Elephas maximus indicus: one gene and its partners. The protein of the gene in region 1 purifies or fractionates together with the protein of each later gene. This does not show direct contact. Links are inferred from orthologs where the notes say so. Each region holds a gene or a part of one and is shown in the gene's direction. Other genes may lie near its edges.

Region 1 (7,387 bases):
TCTTTGAGAGCCTAGGATATCAGTTTTAATATGAACCTCCTCGTAGCTAAATTATAACCTGCCCCACTGCCCCTTCCAAAATAGAAAGCTACATGTTTTAAGTAGATCAAATATTGTTACGAGGAAAATTTCTATAGTACCACCACTACACCCGGGTCCACTTATTTTAGGTAATATCTAATAGCATTCTGTTACAACAAAATAGTTAGAATTTCTGGAATTCGTTTTAACATGGTAAAACTTTCCAAAGATTTTCATTGCAAAGTATAATAAGAATTTTATAAATATTCATAAATGTTACTAAAATGGATTTCTGGAAATGCTCAACATCTGCCAGAAAGAAATCAGAATTTAAACATTTAAATGTGGATTTAAAAACTAATCAAAATTCCTGCAGCAAGAGCCAGATCTGTCTCCTCTGGTTTTATTAAATGCTGTCTCTTACTGAATTAATCAAATTCATTTTCCTTTGTGTATAAATGAGATTTAAAAATCACTGACTTTGGTTATATAACATAGTCCCTGGGTGACACAACTGGTTAACTGCTTGACTACTAACTGAAAGGTTAGTGGTTCAAACCCACCCAGAGGCACCAGGGAAGAAAGGCCTGGCAATCTGCTTCTGAAAGGCCACAGCCTTGAAAACCTTGTGGGGCAGTTCTGCTCTCCACACACAGGTTGCCATGAGTTGGAACGGACCTGATGGCAACTAACAACAACAACATAATCTTAGTAAATACGTTTGTAAGATTAAGCCAGTCATTTTAGGAAAACTCTACAGCTTAGACAAAGAACAAACTTCCTATCAGCCAAGTAAGAAGACTTTTTTTTTTTTTTTAACAGAAAATCTTACAATTCTATTCTTAGTAGAGAATGTATACGTACCTCGCCCAGGTATCACTTTTTTTTTTTTTAATTGCATTATTAGGTTGAAACATGAGTGATTTTAAATTCCTGGCTTATCTTAAATATATTCCTGGTAACATTATTAGTGCAGGACAGAGCAACTTTTCTTTCTGTCATATATAAGGTTGCCATGAGTCGGAGCCAAGTCTATAGCAACTAACAACAACAGATTGTCACTGCTATCTAGGGAAAAAGTAAGCAACCAGCACACTGTAAGAATGATGCTTTATTCATCTTTTGGCCATAGGTTTGCTTTAAGGAACAGCGCTCTCTTTAGAATGGAAGAAATCTACTTGTCTCCTAATTGGTGGGGTTCAGGCCTAAGATGGCTGACTAAATAAACATGGGGGACTGGAACTTCCTTGGAGGTATTCTGGAGGAAGTTCACATCCACTCCACCATGATTGGAAAGATCTGGCTCACCATCCTGTTCATATTTCGAATGCTTGTTCTGGGTGTAGCAGCTGAAGACGTCTGGAATGATGAGCAGTCTGGCTTCATCTGCAATACAGAACAACCCGGCTGCAGAAATGTATGCTATGACCAGGCCTTTCCTATCTCCCTCATTAGATACTGGGTTCTACAGGTCATATTTGTGTCTTCACCATCTCTGGTCTACATGGGCCATGCTTTGTACCGACTGAGAGTTCTGGAGAAAGAGAGGCAGGAGATGAAAACTCAGTTGAGAAGAGAACTGGAAGAGGTTGAATTTGAAGTAACTGGGCATCGGAGGAGACTGGAGCAGGAGCTTTGTCAGTTGGAGCAAAGAAAACTAAATAAAGCTCCGCTCAGAGGAATGTTACTTTGCACTTACGTGATACACATTTTCACTCGCTCTGCGGTTGAAGTTGGGTTCATGATTGGACAGTATTTTTTATATGGATTTCACTTAGAGCCTCTATTTAAATGCCATAGCCACCCATGTCCAAACACGATTGATTGTTTTATCTCAAGACCAACAGAAAAAACAATATTCCTATTGTTTATGCAGTCCATAGCCACTGTTTCACTTTTCTTAAATGTTCTAGAAATTGCTCACCTAGGTTTTAAAAAGATTAAAAGAGGGCTTTGGGGACAATATAAACTGAAGGATGAACATAATGAATTCTTTGCAAACAAATCAAAACAAAATCCTACCAAATATAAGAGCGTATCTGCAAATTCACTGAAGGGACTCCCTTCTGCACCTGATTATAACCTGTTAGTGGAAAAGAAAACACACAAAACAGTGTATCCTAGTTTCAATTCATCTTCTGCATTGCAGGTAGACCCTGACAGTTATAGTGGAAATGAGAAATGCATTTTGGATGAACAGGAAACTGTACTTTCTAATGAGATGCACACAATTAGTACTACTGGTAGTCATCTTCAACACATCAGCTCAAATAATGATGGAACTCATAAAATATCTGGAAAAGATGTGGATGACAACCAGGTAAAGGAAAGAAGAGAAAACTTTGGCACAGACAGTGAAAGGTGCCATTACTCTAGAGGTGTTTCTGTAGATTTGGAAAACCACGTGTCACAGTCACCCCAAAAAGTTTTCTCTCTGCCAGCTAACTGCAACTGGAAAACAAAGAGGCTTAGTGCTACATGGAGACCCTTTACAGAGGATCAAAACCAGAGACTACCTCCTAAAGGTAGCCTCCAGGGCCTGTTTGGAGAGGGCACCATCAGAACCCTTCCTCCTTTACAGGGAGACTCCCAACCACTTGACATTCCAGGCACTCCTGACTCTTTGGGAGAGTTGTCCTTTGAGACTAAGTTTGTCAGAACCTGCAAAAATCCTAGTGCTTATCCTTCAAATCATTTAGTGTCTCTGACAAACAACGTCATCGGTAGGCGGGCACCCACAGACCTTCAGATATGAACAGCTTCTGGCTTTTAGACATTGTGCATATTACATTACAGAAGTGGCCTAGTGGGGATGGAGCAGGGAGAATATAGGGACAAAGACAGCTCTGAGGACCAGCTGTTAAGACAACTGTAAACTCATTTAAAAAAGGGAAACAAAAAAACCACCTAATGTGTTGCTAAGGAGTAGATTCTGACTCATGGTGACCCCGTGTGTTACAGACAAGAACTGTTCAATAGAGTTTTCTTGGACAGAGCAGAACTGTTCAATAGGATTTTCTTAGCTGTAGTTGTATGAAGGCGCCCTGGTGGTACAGTGGTTAAGAGCCCAGCTGCTAACCAAAAGGCTAGCAGTTTGAATCCACCAGCTGCTCCTTGGAAACCCAATGGGGCAGTTCTACTGTGTCCTTTAGGATCACTACATAATCGACTTGATAGCAACGGGTTTAATTTTGGTTTTCAGTCTTATGAATGGAAATCATCAGGCCTTTTCTTCCACAGCACCGCTGCTGGGTGGGTTCGAATTGCCAACTTTTAGGTTAGCAGTTGAGGGCAAACTACGCCACCCAGGGACCTTCAAGAAGGGAAAAACAGCTCTAATTCTGAGTTGTGAAAGGATAGTTTAAATTCAAAAACCTAAAATTACCAAATCAGGCATGGTTCTCATCAGAATGTGTGAAAACAGATTTTAGGAAAATCAGTGTTCCGAATGGAGGCCAAATGGTTTGGAACCAGGTTTTCTCCTTGAAAGGACCACAGCCTTAGGAGGCTGTTCTTGATCAATGTAATTGCTCCTTTTAGTTATTAATCTTTTAATTCTGAACACTGGGTAAATTTTCTTTGCCTCTAAGACTTCTCAGTTTCCTTATAGACTGCAGCCTGATGTGTCTTGAGAATAACCATTATGCTCCTACGTAGTAAATAAAATCTTAAAAAGACTGGTGGCTTTTCTTTTACCAGCTCACCTATATATAGCATCATGATTAAAAGAGAGTTCTGGAGCTAAGTACCTCCTTTACTGGGATGTTGTGAAGACTGAAATAAACACGTGTTTAGTACAGTGCCTGGCACACAGTAAGCCATTAAAATTGCTGGCTATATTATTAGCATATTACTACTCACCTTCCAGAGGCCCAATCAAGTTAGCCACAGAAACAAGGAGAAACCAAACGTAAAGGAGGCGTCAGAGCATACGATCCTAACCACTCCCCTCAAGCCAACTGAAATCCCAGGGTCGCTGTGCATCTGTCGCGCCCACAGGTTACCACGGGTTCCAAAACCCCGACAGAGAAAAGCCTGCCCACTCCCGGTGCCGTGCGCCCCCCCCCCCACGGCTCCCAGCACCAAACCTCGAGGGCTCCGCAGGCACCGCCCCCGGACGCCACGCCCATCTCGAGCCCCACCCGGACACTGGTCCGGAGTCACCGTAACCTCGTCTCTCGCTAAGCAACCGAATCGCTGTGCGGACCGGAAGAAGAGGCGCTGCTTTGATAGCGACAGGGGCGGGCATACGCAGCCTCCCTCCGCTCAGTTCGCTGTAGGAAACTCAGAGCGTCCCGGTCGCCATGAAAACAGGCCACACCCCGACGATCCCCCGCCGCGTTTCGCAAGTGCGCAGGCGCACGCGCCCTTCCGCGCATGAGCGGTGCTGACCAGAGCCCGCCAGCCACGGTCTCGGGCGCCAGCTACGCCGCTGCGGCTGTCACTATGGCCCATTACAAAGTGAGGGGGCGCGGCGTGGCTGGGGGCGTGAGGGCGGTAGCCAGCCGCCGGTCGGCTACCGGTGGGAGTGGGGACGCGCGCAGATTTTGGGGGGCCTGAAGTAGCGAGGCGGAGGTGGGGTTACCGGACTCCCAGCGCCCTCTTCCTCCTCCGGCCCCTGTGGGCTTCGGCCACTGACCCGCCGTGTCTTCTCAGGCCGCCGACTCGAAGCGCGAGCAGTTCCGGAGGTACTTGGAGAAGTCGGGGGTGCTGGACACGCTGACCAAGGGTGAGCATAACTAGGAGAGGGCTCCTCGTGCCCTCGTCGTGCTCGTGGCGCTGCGCCCCTGACGGGCGGTGGCGTGGAGGAGGGAGAACAGGTGGAACCCGTCCTGGGTCCAGCAAGGTGGGCTCCGGGGTTCCGCGGGGATCAGCACACGCCGACTGCCGGACGCCGCCCTGGTGAGGGTAGCCTCGCTCATGTTACCACTCTCCGGGCCAGGGAGTGAAACTCTTGCAGCTGTTGCAAAGTCTCTCCAACTTCCGTTGCTTTGCTTCTAGCGCCGCAGTGGGCGTGATTGTAAAAGACCTCGAACTCCGGATACCTCCCGCCTTGGTTTTTGTGAAGTATCAGAATCTTGTTGAGAAACATTTTCCGTCGAACCAAGGGGCAAGTGGGAAAATTGGCAGATTTAAAGTGAGCTATGATGAAGTAGCTGAGCCTAATCCCCATGGTAGGCGATTCATAGCCAATTTGGTTGTGGCTTTTCAACGCCGATTTCTTAGTCTCTATCAATTCTTTGTGCAGATTTCAAAATTAAAGTAGAATTAAAGTTTAGAGTTTGAGGGCACATCAACATGGGTTATACTGTTTTCACTTCTTAAAAACGGAAACTTACTTTCACACTGTATCTCTTCGTCCAGGCGTACAGAATCTAAGCAGACAAGGCGCTTGAAACAGGAGGTTTCCACGATAGGGTACTGTTTACTTCATTCAACTAGTTGCTGTCGAGTTGATTCTGACTCCCCACGTGTCAGAGTAGAACTGTGCTCCACAGGATTTTCAATGGCTGATTTTTCAAAAGTAGATCAGGAGATGTGTCTTCTGAGGTGTCCTGATTGGACTGGAACCCCCAACCATTGACAATTTGCACCGCTCAGGGACTCTGCTTACTTCATTAGCTCAGCAGTAATTTGAATGCCTGGTATGTGTCACTAAACTCACTGGCTGGGATTTTCAAAGGTATAGAATGGAAGAGCTGGAAGGGATGAGGATCTGGGTCCATATGAAAAGAATAGGAAGTGTTTGAGAAATAATTTGGTAACTGTTCCTTGGGCAAAAGCAAAGGTTAGGGGAAAACTCTGGGAGAAAGATAATTCTGAGTCTTAGCAGAAAGCAGTGTTTTTAATTACCATGCATGGGCTAGAAATTTTGAGTTGCTACCTATCCTGGGCTCACATGCTAGTTTCCCAATCTTTTTGCAAATAAATTTCAGCAAACATTATGGGGAGACACTGGTGGCACAGTGGTTAAGAGCTCGACGGCTAACCAAAAGGTCGGCAGTTCGCTCCTTGGAAACCCTATGGGACAGTTCTATTCTGTCCTACAGGGTTGCTACGAGTTGGGGTCAACTCCACAGCAACAGGTTTGGTCTGTGAAAGTGTTGCGCTATGTTGTCTCTGGAAGTGTCACAAATGCTTGGAATGCTGTCAACACCCCCCTCTTGAAAATCTCCACAAAATCGTTTCTTTCATTTATTTAGTAACCACTTTATTGAAGTTTCTGTTTCAGGCACTGCAGATATTCAACTGCCCTCCAGTTGAATTTGACTCAGAATAACCTGGGGATAGAGCAGTGGGAAAAAAAAGTTCCTGCTCTTAGGAGTTTATATTCTAGTTAGGAGAGACAGATAATAAATGCATAGTGTCAGCTGCTGATAAGTGTTATGAATAAGAACATAGCAAGGTAAAGAAAGGCATGAAGAGTGATGGGTGGAATGTGTGTGCCATTTCATACAGGGTGGTGGGGGAAGGCCTCTCAAGAAGTATGAACAGAGACCTGAATGAAGTAATACATGTCAAGAGTTCCAACAAGGAGGCCAGACTGGCTGGATAGAGTGAGTGAAAGATAGAATGGTAAAAGAGAAGTGATGGTTGTGGAAGGTGACTGCACAGATGTACAGCCTTGTGGCCATACAAGGATTTTGCTTTTTAAGAAATCAGAAACCACTGGAGGCTTCCTTTCCCTTGTTCACATCCAGTGGAATCTAACCCCTCCATCTCCCTAGATCTCCAGTCTCCTAAATAATGTCAGGCAACTTAACATAGTGTCCATTGATATGGCCTATCTAAAATTTGATTTTCAACCCCAAACACTGGTATTTTGTACAGGTTTTATGTGTAATTTTTATCCAGTTTATTTCCAAGAGGATTCGACATTGCTTATAACATTAAAACACTGTAAGACAGTGTCTTAGTTGTCTAGTGCTGCTATAACAGAAATACCACAAGTGGGTGGCTTTAACAAACAAATTTATTTTCTCAGTTTAGAAGACTAGAAGTTTAAATTCAGGGTGCTGTCTCTAGGGGAAGGCTTTCTCTCTCTGTCCGCTCTAGAGGAAGGTCCTTGCCTCTTTAAGCCTCTGCTCCTTGGCAGTCTTCTTGTGGCTTGATATCTCTCTTCCCCCATTTCTGCTTGCTTCTCTCTCTAATCAGCTTGGTTTGTATCTCTTTTATATCTCAAGAGATTGACTCAAGATACACCCTACACTAATCCTTCCTCATTAACATAACAAACACACCTGTTCCCAAATGGGATTGTAACCACAGGCATAGAGGTTAGGATTTACAACATGTATTTTTGGGAGACATAATTCAATCCATAACAGACAGGATGGTTAAACATAAAATTCGATGATAAATCATT
Region 2 (7,560 bases), on another chromosome or scaffold:
TTGACAAAGGCCCCAAAACAGTTAAATGGGGAAAAGACAGTCTTTTGAACAAATGGTGCTGGCATAACTGGATATGCATCTGCAAAAAAATGAAAAAAGACCCATACCTCACTCCATGTACAAAAACGAGCTCAAAATGGATCAAAGACCTAAATAGAAAATCTAAAACGATAAAGATCATGGAAGAAAAAATAGGGACAACGTTAGGAGCCCTAATACATGGCATAAACAGTATACAAAACATCAAAAAGAACACAGAAGAAAAACTAGATAACTGGGAGCTCCTAAAAATCAAACACCTATGTTCATCCAAAGACTTCACCAAAAGAGTACAAAGACTACCTACAGACTGGGAAAAAGTTTTTAGCTATGACATTTCAGATCAGCGCCTGATCTCTAAAATCTACATGATACTGCAAAAACTCAACTGCAAAAAGACAGATAACCCAATTAAAAAATGGGCAAAAGATATGAATAGACACTTCACTGAAGAAGACATTCAGATAGCTAACAGATATATGAGGAAATGTTCACGATCATTAGCCATTAGAGAAATACAAATCAAAACTACAATGAGATTTCATCTCACTCCAACAAGGCTGGCATTCATCCAAAAAACCCGAAATAATAAAGTTGGAGAGGCTGTGGAGAGACTGGAACACTTCTACACGGCTGGTGGGAATGTCAAATGGTACAACCACTTTGGAAATTGATTTGGCACTTCCTTAAAAAATTAGAAATAGAACTGCCATACGATCCAGCAATCCCACTCCTTCTAATACATCCTAGAGAAATAAGAGCCTTTACACGAACAGATACATGCACACCCATGTTTATTGCAGCACTGTTTACAGCAGCAAAAACATGGAAGCAACCACGGTGCCCATCAATGGATGAATGGATAAATAAATTATGGTATATTCACACAATGAAATACTACCCCCCCCAAAAAACCCAGTGCCGTCAAGTCAATTCTGACTTATAGCGACCCTATAGGACAGAGTAGAACTCCCCATAGAGTTTCCAAAGAGCGCCTGGTGGATTCGAACTGCCGACTCTTTGGTTGGCAGCCATAGCACTTAACCACTACGCCACCTAATGGAATACTATGCATCTATAAAGAACAGTAAGGAATCTGTGAAACATTTCATAACGTGGAGGAATCTGGAAGGCTTTATGCTGAGTGAAATTAGTCAGTTGCAAAAGGACAAATATTGTATAAGACCACTATTATAAGAACTTGAGAAATAGTTTAAACTGAGAAGAAAACATTCTTTTGTGGTTACGAGATGGGGGAGGGAGGGAGGGTGGGACAGGGGTACTCACTAACTAGATAGTAGATAAGAACTACTTCAGGTGAAGGGAAAGGCAGCACGCAATACAGGGGAGGTCAGCACAATCGGACTAAACCAAAAGCAAAGAAGTTTCCTGAATAATCTGAATGCTTCGAAGGCCAGCGTAGCAGGGGCAGGGGTCTGGGGACCACGGTTTCAGGGGACATCTAAGTCAATTGGTATAATAGAATCTATTAAGAAAACATTCTGCATCCCACTTTGAAGAGTGGCATCTGGGGTCCTAAACGCCAGCAAGCAGCCATCTAAGATGTATCAATTGGTCTCAACCCACCTGGATCAAAGGAGAATGAAGAACACCAAGGACACAAGGTGATTATGAGCCCAACAGACAGAAAGGGCCACATGAACCAGCGACTACATCATCCTGAGGCCAGAAGAACTAGATGGTGCCTGGCTACAACCGATGACTGCCCTGACAGGGAAAACAACAGAGAACCCCTGAGGGAGCAAGAGAGCAGTGTGATGCAGACCCCAAATTCTCATAAGATCAGACTAAACGGTCTGAGACTGGAAGGGCCCCGGTGGTCATGGCCCCCAGATCTTCTGTTGGCCCAGGACAGGAACCGTTCCCAAATCCAACTCTTCAGACATGGATTGGACTGGACAATGGGTTGGAGAGGGATGCTGGTGCGGAGTGAGCTTCCTGGATCAGGTAAACACTTGAGACTATGTTGGCATCTTCTGCCTGGAGGGGAGATGAGAGGGTGGAGGGGGTTAGAAGCTGGCGAAATAGACAGGAAAAGAGAGAGTGGAGGGAGAGAGCGGGCTGTCTCATTTAAAAAAAAAAAAAAATTTTTTTTCTAGCAAGGCGTATATGGGTTTTTGTGTGAGAGACTGACTTGATTTGTAAACTTTCACTTAAAGCAGAATAAAAATTATTTAAAAAAAAAAAAAAGAGGACTAGGATGGGATGGTAACACCCTCACCAGGTTGCATCCCTGATCCAACGTAGAAGGAGTTTCCCTGTGGTGTCGCTTGTAGCTTTTATCTTACAAGAGATAAAAGGAAAGGCAAACAAGCAGAGAGCGGGGGACCTCATAACATCATGAAACCAGTGCCTGGAGCAGAGCTTGTCCTTTGGATCCGGGGTCCGTGTGCAGAGAAGCTCCTAGTCCAGGGGAAGATTGTTGAGAAGGCTGACAGAGAGAAAAAGCATTCCCTGATGCTGACACCCTGAATTTAGCCTACCTTAAACTTCTCTTCGTTAAAGCCAAAAAAAAAAAAAAATTATTCGTGGCTTGTTGTTTTTCATGTTTCATCTTTAAACGTCCATAGTTGTCAAGGTCTGTATAAACCTCTTTTGGAAGACATTTAAATATAAATATTGTAATTTACTTCCAAACTTCTAAAATACATTTCACATATTGGTATTACTTGCATAGCTATTTATTGGTCCTCTTTTACTTATATTTAATGTCAAATCAGTAAAGAAATCACGATTTTATGCTTTCTGATTTTATGCTTTTCATGATCATCTCTCCTATTCTACAGATGAAGCTGGCAGGCTAACTGATATGCTCAAAATCACGCTGCTAGGATGTGGTAGATTCAGGGCTAAAATCATTGCTTTTTCCACTGTGCTTCCCTCCTAACTTGATGGTACAATTGGAATTGGCTTTTATACGTGTTTTCTAATTGATATAAATATTAGCTCCATTTTGCTTTCTGTTGATTTGCTATTTGTAAATATATTTATATGTGTTATTCCTTAACAAAACTAATCAATCCATGGATTTGCTTTTCAGGACAGGCAAGTTTTAAAAACCGATTTGTCCACTTCATCTAATTCGGGGTCACCTTCAAGTTTTCTTTTTTATGTCCCATGGTTTTTAGCCTGTCCCAACTCTTGTCATTTCACAGCCTCTCCATTCTTGGGTTTGGATGGTTGCATCAGGAGCAAGTCCATAGTCAAGGCAATCAAACCAACCGAATAAGGAACCCTGTGTGGATGAAGTCACACAGCAACCTGGAACTTGGTAAGAACAGATTTCAGCTTCTCATCGAAGACTTGCCCCTAAATCACCATGTAAGTCGTCTGCATACATTTTTATGGTATTCTTTATAATTTTCACCTCAGGAAGAAACACGAAACACGGTAGAAATTTGAATTCCTTTTTGGTACCAAGCATACCAATGGGCACATTTGTGTGTGCGTGTATGTATACAACTAAAGAAAGACATAAATCTTTATTTGTATATCTGTTTGTATTTAAATCTCTTCCATTCTGAAAATGCTTTTGATTTCTTGGACTGAATCTCAGTATTAAAGGTACAGAAACACTCTAAGGGACCTTATCAATCATTTACGTTTGCTTAACTTCAGACGCAATTCAGAAGGACCTGAAATCTGGAGTTTAAAGGTTTATTCTACAAGATAGAAAAGTGAAACAGTCCTGAATCTTTGCGAATTGGTTTTAGTTTACTCTAAGAGAGAATCCGCCCTAAGGCAGTCGGAGGGGCATTGTCCTGGACAGCAGTTTCACGCACTTGCAAACGGAATTTAGAGTCGAGCATTTGGAAACACAGTGGGGCTCAGAACGGACGAAACTGGCGTTTCTGTGACTCCCGTAGGGAAAGGGGCTGCACTCCGACCAACTCCAGAGTCAGCGACGCCGGTGCAGCAGGGAAAGCAGCTCTGCTAACTCCGCAAAAGCAGAGGTGCGGGGGGTTCCCATCCCCGCAGAGTCGCTGGGAGGAGCCCGAATCGCCCGCCGCGGCGCCGCAGGACACCCGCCACGCCCCACGCCGCCCTGCGGGCGAACGCGGGAGACGGCGCGGCCCCATTGGGCCGCCGTAGCGCTGAGGCTCGGGCCGCTCCTCCGCGCCGTCCTCCGCCCCCAGCCTCCCGGCGCCGCGGCAGCTCTGGCCTGGCAGCGCCACCGCCGCTGTCGCTTCCTCCTCTGTAGCCGTTCGGCCGCTGCGTGACGCGTCGTTTCCTCCCAACATGGCGGCCGGGGCAGGTCGGCGGTGATGGAGGCCAGTCCGCGGCCGCGGCGGGTGCTGATCCCCACAGTAGCCACGGCAGCCCTGCCGTCGCCGGGCCTCTGAGCCCTCGCCACTGTCACCGCCTCGGCCCTCGGTCCCCGGCTGACAGCCGCCGGGTCCGGGTCCCTTGCCGCTGCCGGGCCGTGGGACGTGTGAGGGGGGCGGCTGGGAAGCGCCCACCGGGCCGGGAGAAGCGGAGTCCCCTCGGGGCGCGGGCCTCTCGGGGGACGGCGCAGACTTGGCCCGCACGGCGGCTGGCCCCGCTCCCCCGCCCCTTCCTGATCCTGTCTCTGCCCTCCACGCCTCTCCCCCACCTCCGCCCTCCTTTCTCTCTTCCCTTCCTCCTCCTCGTTCTCCTTCTCCTCCTCTCCGGCCGCTGGGAGCCGCGGGTCGGACTAGCCGCCGCCGCCTTCTCTGCGTCCATGTATGAGGGGAAGAAGACGAAGAACATGTTCCTGACCCGGGCGCTGGAGAAGATTTTGGCCGACAAGGAAGTGAAGAAGGCGCATCACTCCCAACTGCGCAAAGCGTGCGAGGTGGCCTTAGGTGAGCGGCGAGGAGGCCCCGGGACTGGGGGCGGGGGGGGGGCGGGTGGGGCGGCTGGCGTGGCGACCCCCGCAGAAGGTGGAGTCGACCCGGGAGCTCGGCCGGGGCCCGCGCTGACATCAGGGAGCCCTCGCGAAGCTCTCTGCTGCCTGGTTGGAGTTGACAGTAACTCGGCTGGATGTGGGGCAGAGGCAGGGTGGCTGGGCTCGGGGGACGCGGCAGGTTCAGGCGCCCGGGTTCCAGGGAGCCGCTCGAGTGTATGACAGGATTTTGTTGGTGAACGGTGCGGTGCGGACGGAATGCCGCCCTTTGTGATGGAGCACAGATGAGCTGTTGTTGATTAGCTTGGAAATTGAAGTGGAGCTGATATGTTAAGATCGGGTACGTGGGAAGGATTCTGCATCGTAATTACGATAACTTTATCGTTCAGCGTGTTACTTTGGGAAGATAGACTGAAGTTGTTCCCTTGCTGACAGCCTGAGAAGGGGTTTTGCAAGAGGTGCAGCTCGTTCTGACATCTCTCCGCCTCCGCCACAGGAAAAACAGTAATGTTGTATATGACTGGGCTGACCTGGAAGAACAAGACCAGAGGTTAAGGGGTGGGGGTGGCGGTGTAAGAGCAGGGAGTGAAAGGACCTTTAGATAAGCTGACTTTAGGTGACAAGAGAAGGGAGGGGTTGAAATGAGAAAAATGAAAAAGACAATGACACACACCAGCCACATGTCTGGACAGTGGCAGCTGCTTTCAAGCTTGAATTGTAATTTATAGTTCAAACGGAAGAGATCTAGTGTAATAAAGCCTGTAACAGGGTAAATCTAAACAATACCTATAGGGAGGACATGCAGATAAGGCACTGTTAAAAGGCGGAACACTTATAGATCTGTTGCATCCATCAAAGATGAAATCGTTTAAGGAGACACCAGGACAGTTAGCAGAGATGAATTCTAATGCTTAGACATTATTTTATAGCGCTGGAAATAGACTAGGTCAAATTAATGAGAAAATGAAGCTTCTTAAATGGGATGACAGGCTTTGGAAAACAGCGTTTTTTTTTTTTTTTTTCTTCCAATTGTGCTTTAAGTGAAAGTTTACAATTTAAGTCAGTTTCTCATACAAAAACTTACACACGTGTTGTTATGTGACCCTAGTTGCTCTCCCTAGGATATGATGGCACACTCCTCCTCTCCACTCTCTATTTCCCCTGTCCATTGAGTCCACTCCTGTCCCCTTCTGCCTTCTCATCTCTCCTCCTGACAAGAGCTGCCCATTTAGTCTCCTGTATCTACTTGAGCCAAGCAAGAAGCACACTCTTTACCAGTATCATTTTATGTCTTACAGTCCAGTCTAATCTTTGCCTGAAAAGTTGGCTTACGGAATGGTTTTAGTCCTGGGCCAACAGAGAGTCCGGGGGCCACGTCCTCAGGGATCCCTGGCTTCTGGAATGGTTTTAGCTCTGGCTTAACAGAGAGTCTGGGGGCCGCATCTTCAGGGATCTCTCCAGTCTCAGACCATCAAGTCAGGTCTTTTTACTGGAATTTGAGTTTTGCACCCCACTTTTCTTTTGCTCTATCAGGGACTCTCTGTTGTGTTCTCTGTCAGGGCGGTCATTTGGTGGTAGCCGGGCACCATCTAGTTCTTAGAGTGTCAGGTGGTTTATGGAGTCTCTAGTTTATGTGGCCCTTTCTGTCTCTTGGGCACATATTTTCCTCATGCCCTTGATGTTCTTCATTTTCCTTGCTCCAGGTGGGTTGGGACCAATTGATGAACCTTAGATGGCTGCTTGCTAGCTTTTAAGACCTCAGACGCCACCCACCAAAGTGGGATGCAGAACATTTTCTTAATAATCTTTGTTATGCCAGTTGACCTAGATGTCCCTTGAAACCATGGTCCCCAGACCCCGCCCCTGCCACTCTGTCCCTCAGAGTGGAAAACAGCATTCTTAAGGGTGGGGCAGGGTGGCATCCAGAATAATTTCAATTTATGCTAAAGTAGAGAGTCAGGATTGTTTAAAAGCAGTTTTTCCTTTTAATTATAAGAATAAATTGAAGACTACAAGTTAACTTGCTATAATATACTATATTGTTTGTTTTCTTCTTTTTTAGATCCCTAAAATTGGTGATATTAAAAAATATTGTTGAAGACCTTTCATCTTCAAATTTTTGACTCTGTAGTATAGTGGCCTTAAGTTTAGCTTTCCGCCCCATCATGGATCGGAAGTTCACCTTTGACTTGTTTTGTAGCTAACAAAAGGTGGTTCCAGATGTGCGAGAAAACAGTTGTACAGTGGTAAAAATTGAATTTATATCTGGGTCCTGAAAGGGGTAATTATTAAATTATTAATTATTAAATTGGGGTGAGCTGAGGGAGGGAGTGATTTTAGGATTTTTAAAAATATTGCTATACAGTGTAGGTTTATGAATAACTTGCAGGTTTAAAAACTTGAGGTTAAAACTAAAGTTTTAGTTTGTGAGTTTATTTTTTCCATGTTAGAAAATACTCTTCATATACTAAATTGTAAGTATCTGACTAAATTACCATAGTATGTTGTGTGTGTGTGTATATATATGTATTTTTTTCCCCTCCCTGAAATGATAATGTAAGTAAGTGTGTTTGAAGAGAGAGCTCCCTGGATTGAGAACCTGGGATCTTGAGTTTTAATCCCAGTTTCAATGC
Region 3 (6,866 bases), on another chromosome or scaffold:
GGCAACTGGCTTGTTTGTTTTTTTTTTTTGGTTAGTAATTTAGGACAGACCTGGGGAAGTTTGCCAGGCCCTGAACTCTTAGAACAATTTTAAGTGGCCAGGGCACTTTTTTTTTTTTTTTAATTGTGCTTTAAGTGAAAGTTTACAAATCAAGTCAGTCTCTCACACAAAAACTTATATGTACCTTGCTACATACTCCCAATTGTTCTCCCCCAACGAGACAGCCTGCTCTCTCCCTCCACTCTCTCTTTTCGTGTTGATACCGCCAGCTTCTAACCCCCTCTACCCTCTCATCTCCTCTCCAGGGAGGAGATGCCAACAGAGTCTCAAGTGTCCACCTGATCCAAGAAGCTCACTCCTCATCAGCATCCCTCTCCAACCCATCGTCCAGTCCAATCCATGTCTGAAGAGTTGGCTTCGGGAGTGGTTCCTGTCCTGGGCCAGCAAAAGGTCTGGGGGCCATGACCACCAGGGTCCTTCTAGCCTTAGTCAGACCGCTAAGTCTGGTCTTTTTAAAAAATATATTTTTAAAATACTTAAAAAAATATTTTACTGTGTTTTTGGAGAAAATTTACATAGCAAATTACGTTCTCATTTAACAGTTTCCGTACATATTATTCAGAGACATTTCACAATGTGTCATTCTCAGTATTTCCATTCTGGTTGTTCCATTTCCATTAATCTAGCTTCCTTGTCCCTCCTTATCGTCTCATCTTTGGTCTAGGGTAAATGTTAACCGTTAGGTATCATTTATATGCTTGTTTAAAGAAGCACAGCACTCACGGGTGGTAGTATTATGAGCCAGTCTCTCTCTCGGCTGAGAGGTGACCACAGGAGTGGATTGAGCTCCACGTTTAAAGGCTAACGCAGGGTGATAGTTTCGGAGTTTCCTCTAGTTTCTACTGGTTGAGTAAGTCTGGCCCTTTTTTAGGAATTTGAGTTTTGTTCTACATTTTTCTCCCATTCTATCCAGGGTCATCAATTGTGTGTCTGGTCCGAATGGTTGGTAGTGCAGGTACATGATTTATATGCATCATTTCACTTGATTTTCACAAGTTACAGTTAGGATTACCCACTTTACAGATGAGGAAATTGAGGTTCAAGGTGATAAAATCATTGTCCAAGGTCATACTGAATGGTGGGGTTGAGGTTTGACATGCTGGATTTCAAAGCTGAAGCTCCTTGTGCCAACCCAGTTTGGAAACTATACCAAAACCCACTACCGTTGAGTCGATTATGACTCATAGCGACCCTATAGGACAGAGTAAAACTGTCCCATAGAGTTTCCTAGAAGCGCCTGGTGGATTTGAACTGCCAACCACTTGGTTAGCAGTTGTAGCACTTAACCACTATGCCACCAGGGTTTCCCTATGAAGATTACAGCCTTGGAAACCCTATGGGGCAGTTCTACTCATCCTATAGGGGCGCTATGAGTCTGAAATGACTCAGTGGCAATGAGTTAGTGGCTTAAAGCAACACAAATTTATTTTTTCAGAGTTCTGGAGACCAAAAGTCTAAAATGGGTCAATACGGCTTTGTTCCTTCTGGAGGCTCTAAGGTAGAATCCACTTCTATGCTTTTCTAGCTTCTAGAGGCCACCACATTCCTTGGCCCATGGCCCCACATCACTCTGACCTCTGCTTTGGTCATCAGGTCCCATTCTCCAACTCTGACCCTTCAGGGTCCCTATTATAAGGACCTTTGTGATTATGCTGGGCCCACCTGGTAATCCAGAATACTTTCCCCATCTCAAGATCCTTCACTTAATCATATCTGCAAAGTTTCTTTTGCCATGTAAAGTAACAGGTTCTAGGGATTAGGATGTGGACATCTTTGGGGAGTCATTATTGTGTACCCCACAAAAGCATAGAAGGTACCCCACAAATAACTTGCTGATTGAAAGATTAAATCCCGTGGACCTAAATCCAGCCCCCTCCATTTACTCATTCATTCCGTAAGTACGATGGACTCTGGCATAGAGCTGTGAGCTCATGGAATTTGCATTCTACGTGGGGAAGATGGTAGTGAGCAAATACATCCTATAGGCCAAAGCAAATCACAAGGGTAGAACAGACTTAAAGGGGTGGAGAAATAGACTCCATCACCTGATGAAAGGACCTGCAAAGTCACATTTCAAAGCAATGGAATTTATGACCAGGAAACATTCTACCTGGTTCTGGGGATACAGTCCAGAGTTTCCCTGGCCTACGTTCTAGTAGACAACAAAAAAGTCAACAAGTAAAAAAAAAGAAAAAATCAGAAAAATGCTATAAAAATCATAAAATAGGGAGCCAAAACCAAAACCAAACCCACTGCCGTCGAGTCAATTCCAACTCATAGCGACCCTATAGGACAGAGTAGTACTGCCCCATAGAGTTTCCAAGGACCGCCTGGTGTATTTGAACTACCGATCTCTTGGTTAGCAGCCATAGCACTTAACCATTATGCCACCAGGGTTTCCTAAAATAGGGAGGGGGGGCTATTTTCTGCTGGGTAGTCAGGAAGGGTCTCCCTGAGATGTCTGAGCTGAGACCTGAGGATTTGACCTCACTCACATGGAGGTTTCTGAGGGTTATAAGAAGGGGCCTCACCTCGTATGAGTCCCAGCAGCCACACAGTTTCTCTTGGCAGAGGTGGGTGGTGTGTGAAGGGGCCCAGGGACATCACTACTGGCTGTTGTGGTATCAGTGGTGAGCTCCGTTTCTTCCTCTGTCAAACGTAGGAAACACTCCCGGCCTGCTTGCAGCATTGTAAGGAATCACAGGTTTATGAAAATAGACCAGATAAACTCCAAAAGGAGGTGGACTGGCAGTGAGACCTTCCTGGCAGCACCAGGCACAGACGTGGCGCGCAATAAACACAAGTGAGCCGGATACCAGGAGCTGGCTCTGCCATGGCCACAGGAGGGTTGTGCGGATGCTGTGTGTTTTGCAGATGGGAACGGTAAAATACTGTTTCTGGAAATTGTCCACAAATACACCTTTTCTCTGCCTGCCTTCCTTTCACTTCCTATTTCCCTTCACTCCTTCTCTCTTTCCATTTCCGAGTGTGCTTTCTTTCCATTCTTTCTCACTGCCTCCCCCTCACATCATCTTTTTCCATTTCATTCCTCTTCCCCTTTTCTCCTAACTTCCTCCCTCTTCCCTTTATCTTCTCTCTCCCTTCTCCTCATCTTTTTTCCTCTTCTCTGCTCTTCTCCTAGACTCTTCTCTCTACCTCCTCTCTCCCCTCAGCCCTTCTCTTACTCCTTCACCTCCTCTCTCCCATCTCCACCTCCTCTTTCCCCTCACTTTCTCTACCTCCATGCCTCCCCTCATCCCTCACTTCCTCTCTTTGCTTCCCCTTTCCTCAACTCCTCCCACTCCCTCATCAACTCTCACTCCCCCGCCAATTCTTTCTTCCAATCTTCCCCCTCACCTCCTCTTTCTCCACACCTCTTCCTTTTGCCCCTTATCATCTATCTCATTCCCGCACCAATTCTTTTTTCCAGACTTCCCTCTTTTCGCCTTCCTTTCTTCTTTTCCGTCTCACCTCCTCTTTCCCTCTCATCTCTCTTTCCTCATCTCTAACCCCATCATCTCCAGGCCCATCCTCCTCACTGCCTTTTTTCCTCAGCTCTTCTCTTCCCATCACCACCTCTCCTCCCTCTCCTTTCTTCCCCCCGACCCGCGTCCCCTCTTCACAGGTTTCTACTCCCTCTCACCGCCTTTTCTCCCTCCTCCCTCCATCTTCAGCCCCTCCCCTGCCCTCCCATCGTGCCCCGCCCCGCCCCGCCCCCAGCATCAGGCCCCGCCCCGTCAGGGCACGGGGTCGACAGACGCGCGGCAGCCCTAGCGGCTCCGCCCGTCACGTGGTCACGTGACGCGCTCCAACATGGCGGCGCCGTGGGGCCGCGGCGTCGCTCCCTGACGGGGCGGTGCAGACGGACGCGGCCGGTACCGGCCGGGACGCCGGGGCCGTAGCCTTGCTCGCCGGCTCGTTCGCGCCGCCCGTCCGCGGGGCTGCGAGCCCCCGCCGGGCCGGGGCCATGCAGGAGAGCCAGACCAAGAGCATGTTCGTGTCCCGGGCCCTGGAGAAGATCTTGGCCGACAAGGAGGTGAAGCGGCCCCAGCACTCCCAGCTGCGCAGGGCCTGCCAGGTGGCGCTCGGTGGGTGAGCCGCCCCGGCCCGGCCCCACGCCGGCCGTTACCCCACCGGGCCTCAGTCGGCCTCCTTGTTTCCGCTTTCCCCGCCCCTGGGCCCGGAATCCCACCCTCTCGGCATACTCATTATATCCCCAGGGGAAACTGATGTCGGGGAAGCTCAGGATTGGCCCAAGGTCACCTAGCAAGTTGGGGACAGTCAGAGCTGGCTCTCCAGCCTCCCAGCCCAGGGCTCTTGCCACGACTCCTCGCTGTCCTGTTTCCTGGTTCCTCCCCTCACCACCCCAAGTCCTCAAAAGTAGCAGCCCTTGCCCCAAGTTTTCTCTTTACCTGGGCTTTACCGGTTCGGGTTCCCCCAGGTGAGCAGAATATAGGTGGGAAGAGCTGTCCAACTGGTTTCGGGGGAACCCCTGAGGCTCGTTTTGTAAGTGCCCGATTGGAGAATGTTTTCCTTTTATTTGGTGATCTCCCATATCTCTTTCGCTGGAGAAAGACGTGGCAGTCTGCTTCCGTAAAGATTGCAGCCTTGGAAACCCTACGGGGCAGTTCCCTGTCCTGTAGGGTCCTATGAGTCGGAATTGACCGATGGCAGTGGGTTTGTTTGTTTTTTAATCCGTTCATAGCTCTTTACCTCAAGGAAGGAATGTAGAGATTTATTCTATAGCTCCCAGGTGTTATGGGTTGCAAGAGAACTGCTTATTCTTGTTGGTCCACTAAAATGTAGGGTCAGTGAGGGCAAACATATTTGTTTTATTCACTATGTCCCCCACACTTGCAACAGTACCTGGCACACAGCATATGCTCACTAAATATTTGCCGATTGAATGGACTGCAGATTATGGAAAAGGGAGAAACCCTAACTCATAGCTAGTTAAAACTCTTGGTAGCTGAGACCAGCATCAACATCCTATCTTTTAGTTTTGTTCACGGAACAAATAATTATCAGATGCGTACTGTGTACCAGCCACTGTTGTAGGCACTGGGAAACAAGACAGACAAGATCCTTGCCCTTTTGAAGCTTGTTAGGTGCCGCCAAGTCGGTTCCAACTCAATAGCAGCCCTCTGTAAAACAGAACAAAACACTGCTAGGTCCTGTGCCATGCTCACAATCGTTGCTATGCTTGAGCCCATCATTGCAGCCACTGTGTCAGTCCACCTTGTTGAGGGTCTTCTCTCTTTCACTGACCCTCTACTTTACCAAGCGTGATATCCTTCTCCAGGGACTGGTCCCTTCTGATAACATGTCCGGAGTACGTGAGACGAAGACTCACCATCCTTGCTTCTAAGGAGCATTCTGTCCGTACTTCTTCCAAGACAGACTTGTTCTGTCTTCTGGCAGTCCATGGTATATTAGGTATTTTCCACCAACACCAAAATTCAAAGGCATCAATTCTTGATCAGTCTTCTTATTCACTGTCCAGCTTTCGCATGCACATGAGGTGATTGAAAATACTACGGCTTGGGTCAGGCACGCCCTATTGCCCAAGGTGACATCTTTGCTTTTTAACACTTTGCAAAGCTTTGACTCTAAAAAAAAAAAAAACCAAACCCACTGCCATCTAGTGGATTCCGACTCATAGGGACCCTATAGGACAGAGTAGAACTGCCCCATTAGATCCTAATAAGAGAGCCTAAAGTAAATAAGAAAATAAATGAAGTATTTTTGGATAGTAATAAATACTATTGTGAAAATAAAAGAGATGTGGTAAAGAGGGTCTGAGGGCTTCTTTAAATTGGGCCTCCAGGAAAGTTATCCTTTCAGAGGAGGTGACATTTGAGCTTAGTACTGAAAGGCAAGAAGTATCCCATGTGGAGTTTCAGGAGAAGAGTTTAGGGCAGTGGGATCAATACATTGAACAGAGCTGTCTTCAAGCTAATTCACCACTGCAGTGCCTTTGTTTGGACTCTTTAACAAATTGACTGAGCACGTGCAAGTTTTTATTTTTTTGTCACAGATTTTGATATTGCCATCACCTTTCTCCCTTCATTTGGTGCAAGGTATAGAGCTGGGGTTCTTGGGTGCTAGGAATGAGCTTGTGAAAATTGCTCATCTCAGGGAAGAGAGTCCAAAACTTTCATCAGATTCTCAGAAGGGTCTGAGACTCCCTCGGGGGTCAAGAACTATTGATATAGAGGCTGCTGTTGTCCAGATAATCTGGAAATAGTTGGGTTTTTGTTGTTAGTTGTCCTCCAATCAATTCTGAGTCATAGTGACCCCATGTGAAATTCAGGATCAGTGGTAGGAATTTACCAAGATTTAGATTTTTTTAAAGCTTTTCTATTCAGACAACCAAGGCCAACTGTTGGATATTGTTGTATAAGAATGCAGGCTAAGCACTAAAAAGTAGTTTGTTAGTTAGGCAGAAGTCTAGTGTTTATAACCACTTTGAAATCTGCCTGAACTCTGTCCTCTCAATATTATTACTTAAAGAGTATTGTGGAAGTTTCAAAATAGTTATTTGGCAGAAATGTTTTCATTCCCCTTTCAGAAAACTTAACATAAAATCTCCACCAAATTGTATGTCATGTTGTTGGAACTTTCTTTTAAAATTGCCATATGGGTCGTAAAGGGCCGTAATGTTGAGAGTTTATTAGATAGATATAACTTTGTTCAGAAGTTCATATCTTTCCAACCAAAATTGTAGAATGCATGCACTTTCAGTGTGTTAGTAGTGAATTGTAAGAAATGGGCTGTTGTTAGCTGCCGTCAAGTTGGTCCCTGAC
Region 4 (7,317 bases), on another chromosome or scaffold:
ACTCTAACCTAAAGTCCTTTATCATATGTTGATCTGTTCATTTGTTCACTGATTTAACAAATTGGTAATCTCAATTCCTTGGTTACTTCTTTAAAGAGCATTTTCAACATAGAATCTCGTCAGCTTTTTAAAAAAATGAAGCAAGATCATATTCACTGGTTCCCTTTTATACAAATGCATTATTAACCCCTGGGAAGAATTCTGATAATCAGTAATGATTTTCTATTTACAAAAAAGCATGCTACATTTTACCTAAAGGCCCATTTTGCTTATATTCTGAGAATATACACATCATTTCAGATTTCACTGTAAACCATGAGTTTTGCCGGTTTACAGAGCCCTACTGATTAGCAGTGGTCATATTGCTTCCTTTGTTCAACACTCCATCATACACAGCAGAAGAGGTAATAATTCCACAGTTTCTTCCTTGAATTCACTCAGAACGGTCTGGTGGACACTTCTCAGTTTTGCTGATTTGGGTTATGTAGTTGGATTTTTATAAAACAAATATCTAAACCTAAAATTAAAAAGCTATAATTGTTAAATTGGGCCCTATCTCTCATATAATGTGCAAAAATTAATTCTAGATAGATTAAACACTTAAATGTTATACATTAAAATGCTAAAAATCTCAGAACATCTGGGAGACTAGACCTACAATAAAGAAATGGAGGAGATACCTAAACCAAGACAGAAAATGAGAGAGTTATAAAAGACATTTTCTAAGAAAGACACATTTAACTACCTAAAAATTCGATGAATGACTCAATCAAGACAAGAAATCCAAGTACTTTGGAAGAAAAGATAAACATTTGACAGCATAAAAATTAAAAGCCTTTGTATGGCCAAAACCAAAACCAAACCCAACCTGATGCTGTCAAGTCGATTCCGACTCATAGCAACCCTATAGGACAGGGTAGAACTGCCCCATAGAGTTTCCAAGGAGCACCTGGTGGATCTGAACTGCTGACCTTTTGGTTAGCAGCTGTATGGCCAAAGGAACCATTAATAAAGTTAATGGACAAACAATAAAGAAAAAATATTAGCAGTGTGATGACAGAGTTAATGTCCATAGCACAGAACTCTTAGTTAGAAAAGAAAAACAACCAGTGTTTTAAAAGGGCAAGGAAATGAAGTGACAATTAATTAGATCTCTGTCAGTTGATAGAGACTCTTAGAAGACTCTATATAAGACACAGAGAAAAAAAATGATTCCATTTTTAAAAAGGACTCAGTTACTTTTCCCTCCCCTGTGTGTGTGTGAGAGGGAGAGGGGAGTAATTCGAGTGGAAAGAGGAGAGGGAAAAATAAAAGAAAATAAAGGCTTGCACTACTAGTCCTTAATCCCAAAGACCCCAGTAGACACATCAATTAATTTTTGAGGGAAAAAAAAATACAAGTGTTTGTGTATATACATAAAGAAATTATAAAGAATTAGAGCTATATTAAATGACAGGAATTTCTAAGATAAGTAATATATTTATTTACAGAGCAAAGTGTAATCATACTTGACTAAAGACAAATGACTGTATGTGTTTGTATAAAGGTATACACACCATTGGTTACCTCAAGAGGGTAGAATGGATAGGGGAGGTTTTGGCTTTAATACATCTTTGCATTGTATTATTTCACTAATAATAATAAGGATCTATTACTTCTATAATTTCAAAAATACCAAATTAAAGAAGTTATTATGCAAAACAACATCAACAAACTAATTTGGTTTATGTTACCTATCACTCACAATGGCATTTTCCCTCTCATCTACCCCTCCATGTCCCTCTTAATTTTCTGATGGAAGCACCATATCCCTTTGGCTACCTACCTGGTAACATATCAACTACAACAAGGACTGTGCATTCTAATTCACACATTTTTATGATACCAGGTTTTACTACTGGCACTTAAGTTTTCTGTCTTGGCTTTTCTGCTACTTTCCACCCTTATATTATTTCCTGGGTCATTCTCACTGACCAGAAGTGCAACTTGGAATTCCCTCTGCAGAGTCTTGGGGAATCCCAGGCTCAAGTTCATCCTCTTACATTCTTTCCCCCAGTTTTCAATTCAAGCAACTGTTACCATCTCTAGTGCCTGCAGGTTGGGACCATTAAGTTTCTAGAGCAGTGCTGACCAACAAAACTATGATGCAAGCTTTGGAAGTTACTTTAAATTTGCTAGTAGTGACATTTAAAAAGCAAAATTAATTTTAATGTCTTTTATTTAACCCAGTATATCTAAAATGCTATCATGTCAAGATGGCTTCAATACAAAAAATGAGATTTTAAATTATTTTTTTCACACAAAGTCTTCAAAGTCTAGTGTGTACTTTAATCCTACTGCACATCTCAGCTTGGACTAGCAACATTTGAAGAGCTTAACTGTCACATGTGGCTACTGGCTACCCTAATGGACAACACAGTTCTACAGAAGCCTATCACCTAAGGGCCCTGCAGTTTATAATATAGTTCCTCCTCCCTGGATAACTGTCTTGTCCAGGTTCATTAAGACTTCTAGAGTGTAAATAAAGTGCTGTGAGTGGAACAGATATTCTATCATAAACTATAACTCTGAATATTTACCTTTAGGCTGTTTCCAAAAATCAATTCCACTTTCAATTTCCCACACAGAGGGGATTCAGGAGGCAGTAGAATGCCCTATTTGGTATGTGGGTTGGAATCTTGGCTCTGCCATTTGCTACCTGTGGGACATTGAACAAACTACATTAATCTCTGTATGACTTGGTTCCTTTGCCTGTAAAATGGGAATATTTACAGTACCTACTTCATAGGTGGTCAGTGGCAGAATTCTCACCTTCCATGTGTTGGATTCCCAGCTGTCATGGATTGAATTGTGTCCCCCCAAAATATCTGTCAACTTGACTAGGTCATGATTCCCTTGTATGATTGTCTACCATTTTATCATCTGATGTGATTTCTCTATGTGTTGTAAATTCCATCACTATGATGTAATAAGATGGATTAGTGGCAGTTATATTGATGAGGTCTACAAGATTAGGTAGTGTCTTAAGCCAATCTCTTTCAAGATATAAAAGAGAGAAGTGAGTATAGAGACATGGGGAGCTCATACCACCAAGAAAGCAGGGCTGGGAGCAGAGTGCGTCCTTCGGACCTGAGGTTCCTGCGCTGAGATGCTCCCAGACCAGGGGAAGACTGATGCCAAGGACCTTGCTCCAGAGCCGACAGACAGAGAAAGCCTTTCGCTGGAGCTGATGCCCTGAATTCGGACTTCTAGCCTACTGGACTGTGAGAGAATAGACTTGTCTTTGTTAAAGCCATCCACTTGTGGTATTTCTGTTATAGCAGCAGTAGGTGAGCAAGACACCAGCCAATGTAGCCACCAACCATCTGTCAGTGGAGGCTTTCCTGTTGCTTATGATGCTGAACAGGTTTCAGCGGTGCTTCCACGCTAAGGAAGAAAGGCCTGGTGATCTACTGAAAACCAGTCAATGAAAACCTTATGGGTCACAACGGTCCAATCTGCAATGATCAGTGGTCATGGGGATGGTGCAGGACGGGGCAGCATTTTGTGTGGTTGTGCATGAGGGTCGTACCTCAAGGCCACAAAAGCTAACGACTTCATAGGTCCTTCTGAGGATTAAATTAGTTAATACACATAAAGGATTTGGAACCGTGCCAGGCACATACTAAATGTTCAATACATGTTAGTTATTATTCCAGTAAACTTGTTGCAGGCCCTGAGGTAAGTCCCTAGAAAATACCAGAAATTCTGAAGCGGCTTTACAGCCGAGGGGCCACATTCTGGTTGAGAACTACCTCTCAGGCCATCACGGACACAGGACCTATGCGCGGACCGGCCAAGCCTCAATAAAAAACACTCCTCCGCTCACCTCTCCCTGACCACCCCCGGCCGGCTCTTTCCCGTCAAGATTGAGGTGGGGGGGTAACTGGGGACACCTGAGGAAAGACCTGCTAAGTCTAGGTCATGGAGACAACTTTTCTGACCGGATGTGAGGGTGGTCCACTAGAAGCAGGAGGGATGGACTCCTTGACTCTCCAGCTGCCCACAGCACCTTCCCTGAGGTGAGGCCACTAGGTGGCCTCGGGGCTGGCGCGGGCCCAGCCGCCCCGGCTCACGGAGGTGAGGGACGATCCCAGAGGGAAGCGCGCGCGAGCCCGGGGGCGGGCCGGGTCTGGAAGGGGCGTGACCAATTCAGGAGGCCCCGCCTACCCGCCCGCCGGGCTGGAGCCTGGAGCGGACGTGCCCGCCTGACGCACTTCGGCGCCGCAGCCAATCGAGAAGCGCGGAGCAAGTTCAAATAAAGACGGCGGGTGAACATGGCGTCTTTTCCTGGGTCTGGGTGGTGATCAGCCTCTGTTCTGCTCCGAAGATGTGGCGGGTGAAAAAACTGGACCTCAGTGCGTCGGCTTCGCCGCAGCCGGTGAGCAGAAGAGTCTCGGAGAGAGAGAACTGGGCTAGGGCTACTAGGGCGGGAACGCTGGCAGAGCCTTGTGTCCTGGATAGCTGGGTCAAGGCTGGGAGTGGAGGGGGGCGTGTGCAAGTCGTTCGTCCTGCCGCTTCAGCGGGACTGGTGACGGAGCCTACTCTTTCTCATCGCCTGAGGCTTCTAAGGGAGGGAGGGCAGCTAGGCTGGCAGAACCCGTGCTTTCTCACACTTGCTTTCTTTCTCAGGGAAAACCAGCTATGAGAACTCCCCTTCGAGAGCTTAACCTGCAGCCTGGTGCCCTCACCAGCTCTGGTAAAGGCCCCCCTGTGCACTCCTCACTCACCCCATCACTGCGCAAGCTGACGCTACAGGTGAGAGTCACCGGGACAATTTCGCATTTGGGCTGTTTGCCCAGGCCGAGAGCTCAAAGGAACACAGGTCCCGGGTTGGAACGTAATTAATAACGATAATGAAGTTTTCTACCTCAGTGACATCCATTTACAGCTATTCAGGCCAACAGAGAGGTGCCCTAGGGTGGTTAAAGGAAATTCACTGAGAACCTAAACCTCTATTTAGCTGTTAGTTTTTATCACCTCTTCCAAACTACTGAGAAATACTTTCAGCCTGGTTAGTGGTCTCCCTCTTACATAAGCTGGAGAGTTGACCTGCTGCAGCAGTGAAACGATATCCATTTACTCCTCGAGGTAGTCAAATGTTCTGCGGTCAAGTTACATACCACGGGAAATTAGAGTACTTGAACTACCTGATTTTAGCCCCTTGCAGAATTGCCCTCAGTGAGATGTGCTTTTGTCAAAGGTCTTGAGAGAAGTAGCCGTGTACAAACTACTTTTTACTTACTTTAAAAACTTTTCATGGAATGAAATTTACCCCTTTATAAGATCCCTAAGGAACCCTGGTGGTGCAGTGGTTAAGAGCACCGCTGCTAACTGAAAGGTTGGAGTTCAAAACCACCAGCCACTCTAAGGCAGAAAGATGTGGCAGTCAGCTTCTGTAAAGATTACACAGCCTTGGAAACCTTATGGGCAATTCTGCTTTGTCCAATAGGGAAGCTATGAGTCAGAATCAACTTGATGTCAACAGGTTATAAGGCTCCTTGCAGAAATTTCATTTAGAACTCATTGCCTGGGAAGATGGTCTTTACAGAGAAATCGTGTAAGTACCCTTTTCCCTTTCTGATAATGAGAACTATGTAGTTTATCATATTTCCCCTCTTGCTGTAGTTTCTAGAAAGCTCAGGATCAAATCTGATGATCAGGTATTGTTGTTATTGCTTGGTGCCGTTGAGTTGGTTCTGACTTGTAGACAGAGACCCTAGAAGACAGAGTAGAACTGCCCCATAGGGTTTACAAGGAGCGGCTGGTAGATTTGAACTGCTGACCTTTTGCTTAGCAGCTGAGCTCTTAGCCCCTACACAATCAGGCATAGCTACTGTTAATCCCTGAAATTGGAAGATTTGCCTCCTTTTTCTTCTTTGACCATGACTTCATATTTCAGTATTCCATTAACTTGATCTGTCTATCCTTTTCATGCAGTCTGAATTATTTTTGGAAGGAAATGGGGTATAAATACAGTAGATTAGAGGAAGGAAGAAGAATATATAAAAGCAGATGACAACCTGCATGTTTTAGTTTCTTAATGTTGCTATAACAAATATAGTACTGGTATAAAGTGGGTGGCTTTAATGAACAGAAATTTATTTTCTCAGTTTGGAAAGCTAAAAGTCTGAATTCGGGTTGCTGGCTCTAGGGGAAGTCTCGCGCTTTGTCTGCTCTGGGGGAAAATCCTTATCTCTTTCAGCTTCTCTTCCTTGGTTCCTTGGTAATCTCTACATGGTATCAATCTTTCTCCATTTGTGCTTCCTTCTGTGCCTAATGTGCTCTTTTTATATCTCAAAAGTGATTGGTTTAAGACATGCCCTACACTGGACATGGCCTCATTAACATGACAAAGAAAATCCTATTCCCAAATGGGATTACATCCACAGATAAAGGGATTAGGATTTATAACACATTTTCAGGGGACACAGTTCAATCCATAACATTCCACCCTTTGCCCTCCCACAAATTCATGTCCTTTCCACTTGCAAAACACATTCCCCCATCACATCATCCCAAAAGTCTTATTCTATTCCAGCATCAACTCCAAAACCATATCTTCTGGATCATCTAAATCAAGTATGGGTGAGACTTTGGGTGTGTTCTATCTGGGGTAAAACTCCTCAGTGGACTTATGAAACCTAGAATACAAGTTATCTACTCCTAAAGTACAATAGTGGAACAAACACAGGGTAGACATTTCCATTTACAAATGGGAGAAATTGAAGGGAAAGAAGGGCTCATGGGCACCAAGCAACTCCAAAACCCAGCAGAACAGATTACATTAGCTGTCAAGGCTTGAAAATAATCCTGTGTTCTCCGGGATCATTTGGGCAAGGGCCCTGCCCTCCAGACTTTGGGTATTGGCCACACTTTCTATATCCTGGGTGGAGGCCCCTTATCCTGGAGCTAGCTCCACCTTCCTGGACCACCGGAACAGCAACTCTGGTCCCTCGGCTTTGGGCAGCCCCATTCTCCTAGTCCATCTGAGTGGTGACTCCACCTTCCTGAACTGAGATGTGGAGACTGGACTCTTTGAAACCTAGGAGGCTGTAGCTCCACCCTTTGAAACCAAGGCAGTCCTCCTTTCTATAATTCTTCCAACAGCTCTGCCTGTATCTGAACCACTCCAGAGATGGTCCTTTTCTTTTTTTGGAGGACAACAAATATTTGCAACCAAGTAGCTCCACTGGGCTATTTCCTGCCTGTATAATTTCAAGAGCCAGACACCTTTCCTTCGTTTTGTCCTGTCTCTGTCCCCTTCAGTTTAAGCTG

Evidence for each region.
Region 2: the proteins of MYCBP (region 1) and ARFGEF1 purify together in Homo sapiens (co-immunoprecipitation; 4 studies listed by BioGRID and IntAct, with this or other methods). This does not show direct contact. The link is inferred for Elephas maximus indicus from reciprocal best matches to the Homo sapiens genes MYCBP and ARFGEF1.
Region 3: the proteins of MYCBP (region 1) and ARFGEF2 purify together in Homo sapiens (co-immunoprecipitation; 4 studies listed by BioGRID and IntAct, with this or other methods). This does not show direct contact. The link is inferred for Elephas maximus indicus from reciprocal best matches to the Homo sapiens genes MYCBP and ARFGEF2.
Region 4: the proteins of MYCBP (region 1) and SPAG5 purify together in Homo sapiens (co-immunoprecipitation; 3 studies listed by BioGRID and IntAct, with this or other methods). This does not show direct contact. The link is inferred for Elephas maximus indicus from reciprocal best matches to the Homo sapiens genes MYCBP and SPAG5.

The regions. Positions count from the first base shown.
Region 1 is NC_064821.1:80,558,818-80,566,204, reverse strand, and holds the start of MYCBP (C-Myc-binding protein), read left to right. Parts: upstream 1-4,374; 5' UTR 4,375-4,398; coding exon 4,399-4,482; intron 4,483-4,677; coding exon 4,678-4,750; intron 4,751-7,387. Other genes in the region: GJA9 (gap junction alpha-9 protein), read left to right, coding at 1,250-2,776. UniProt on the Homo sapiens protein: May control the transcriptional activity of MYC. Stimulates the activation of E box-dependent transcription by MYC.
Region 2 is NC_064833.1:75,191,124-75,198,683, forward strand, and holds the start of ARFGEF1 (brefeldin A-inhibited guanine nucleotide-exchange protein 1), read left to right. Parts: upstream 1-4,557; 5' UTR 4,558-4,762; coding exon 4,763-4,886; intron 4,887-7,560. UniProt on the Homo sapiens protein: Promotes guanine-nucleotide exchange on ARF1 and ARF3. Promotes the activation of ARF1/ARF3 through replacement of GDP with GTP. Involved in vesicular trafficking.
Region 3 is NC_064843.1:20,611,524-20,618,389, reverse strand, and holds the start of ARFGEF2 (brefeldin A-inhibited guanine nucleotide-exchange protein 2), read left to right. Parts: upstream 1-3,843; 5' UTR 3,844-4,027; coding exon 4,028-4,148; intron 4,149-6,866. UniProt on the Homo sapiens protein: Promotes guanine-nucleotide exchange on ARF1 and ARF3 and to a lower extent on ARF5 and ARF6. Promotes the activation of ARF1/ARF5/ARF6 through replacement of GDP with GTP. Involved in the regulation of Golgi vesicular transport.
Region 4 is NC_064837.1:23,292,543-23,299,859, forward strand, and holds the start of SPAG5 (sperm-associated antigen 5), read left to right. Parts: upstream 1-4,306; 5' UTR 4,307-4,369; coding exon 4,370-4,420; intron 4,421-4,671; coding exon 4,672-4,797; intron 4,798-7,317. UniProt on the Homo sapiens protein: Essential component of the mitotic spindle required for normal chromosome segregation and progression into anaphase. Required for chromosome alignment, normal timing of sister chromatid segregation, and maintenance of spindle pole architecture.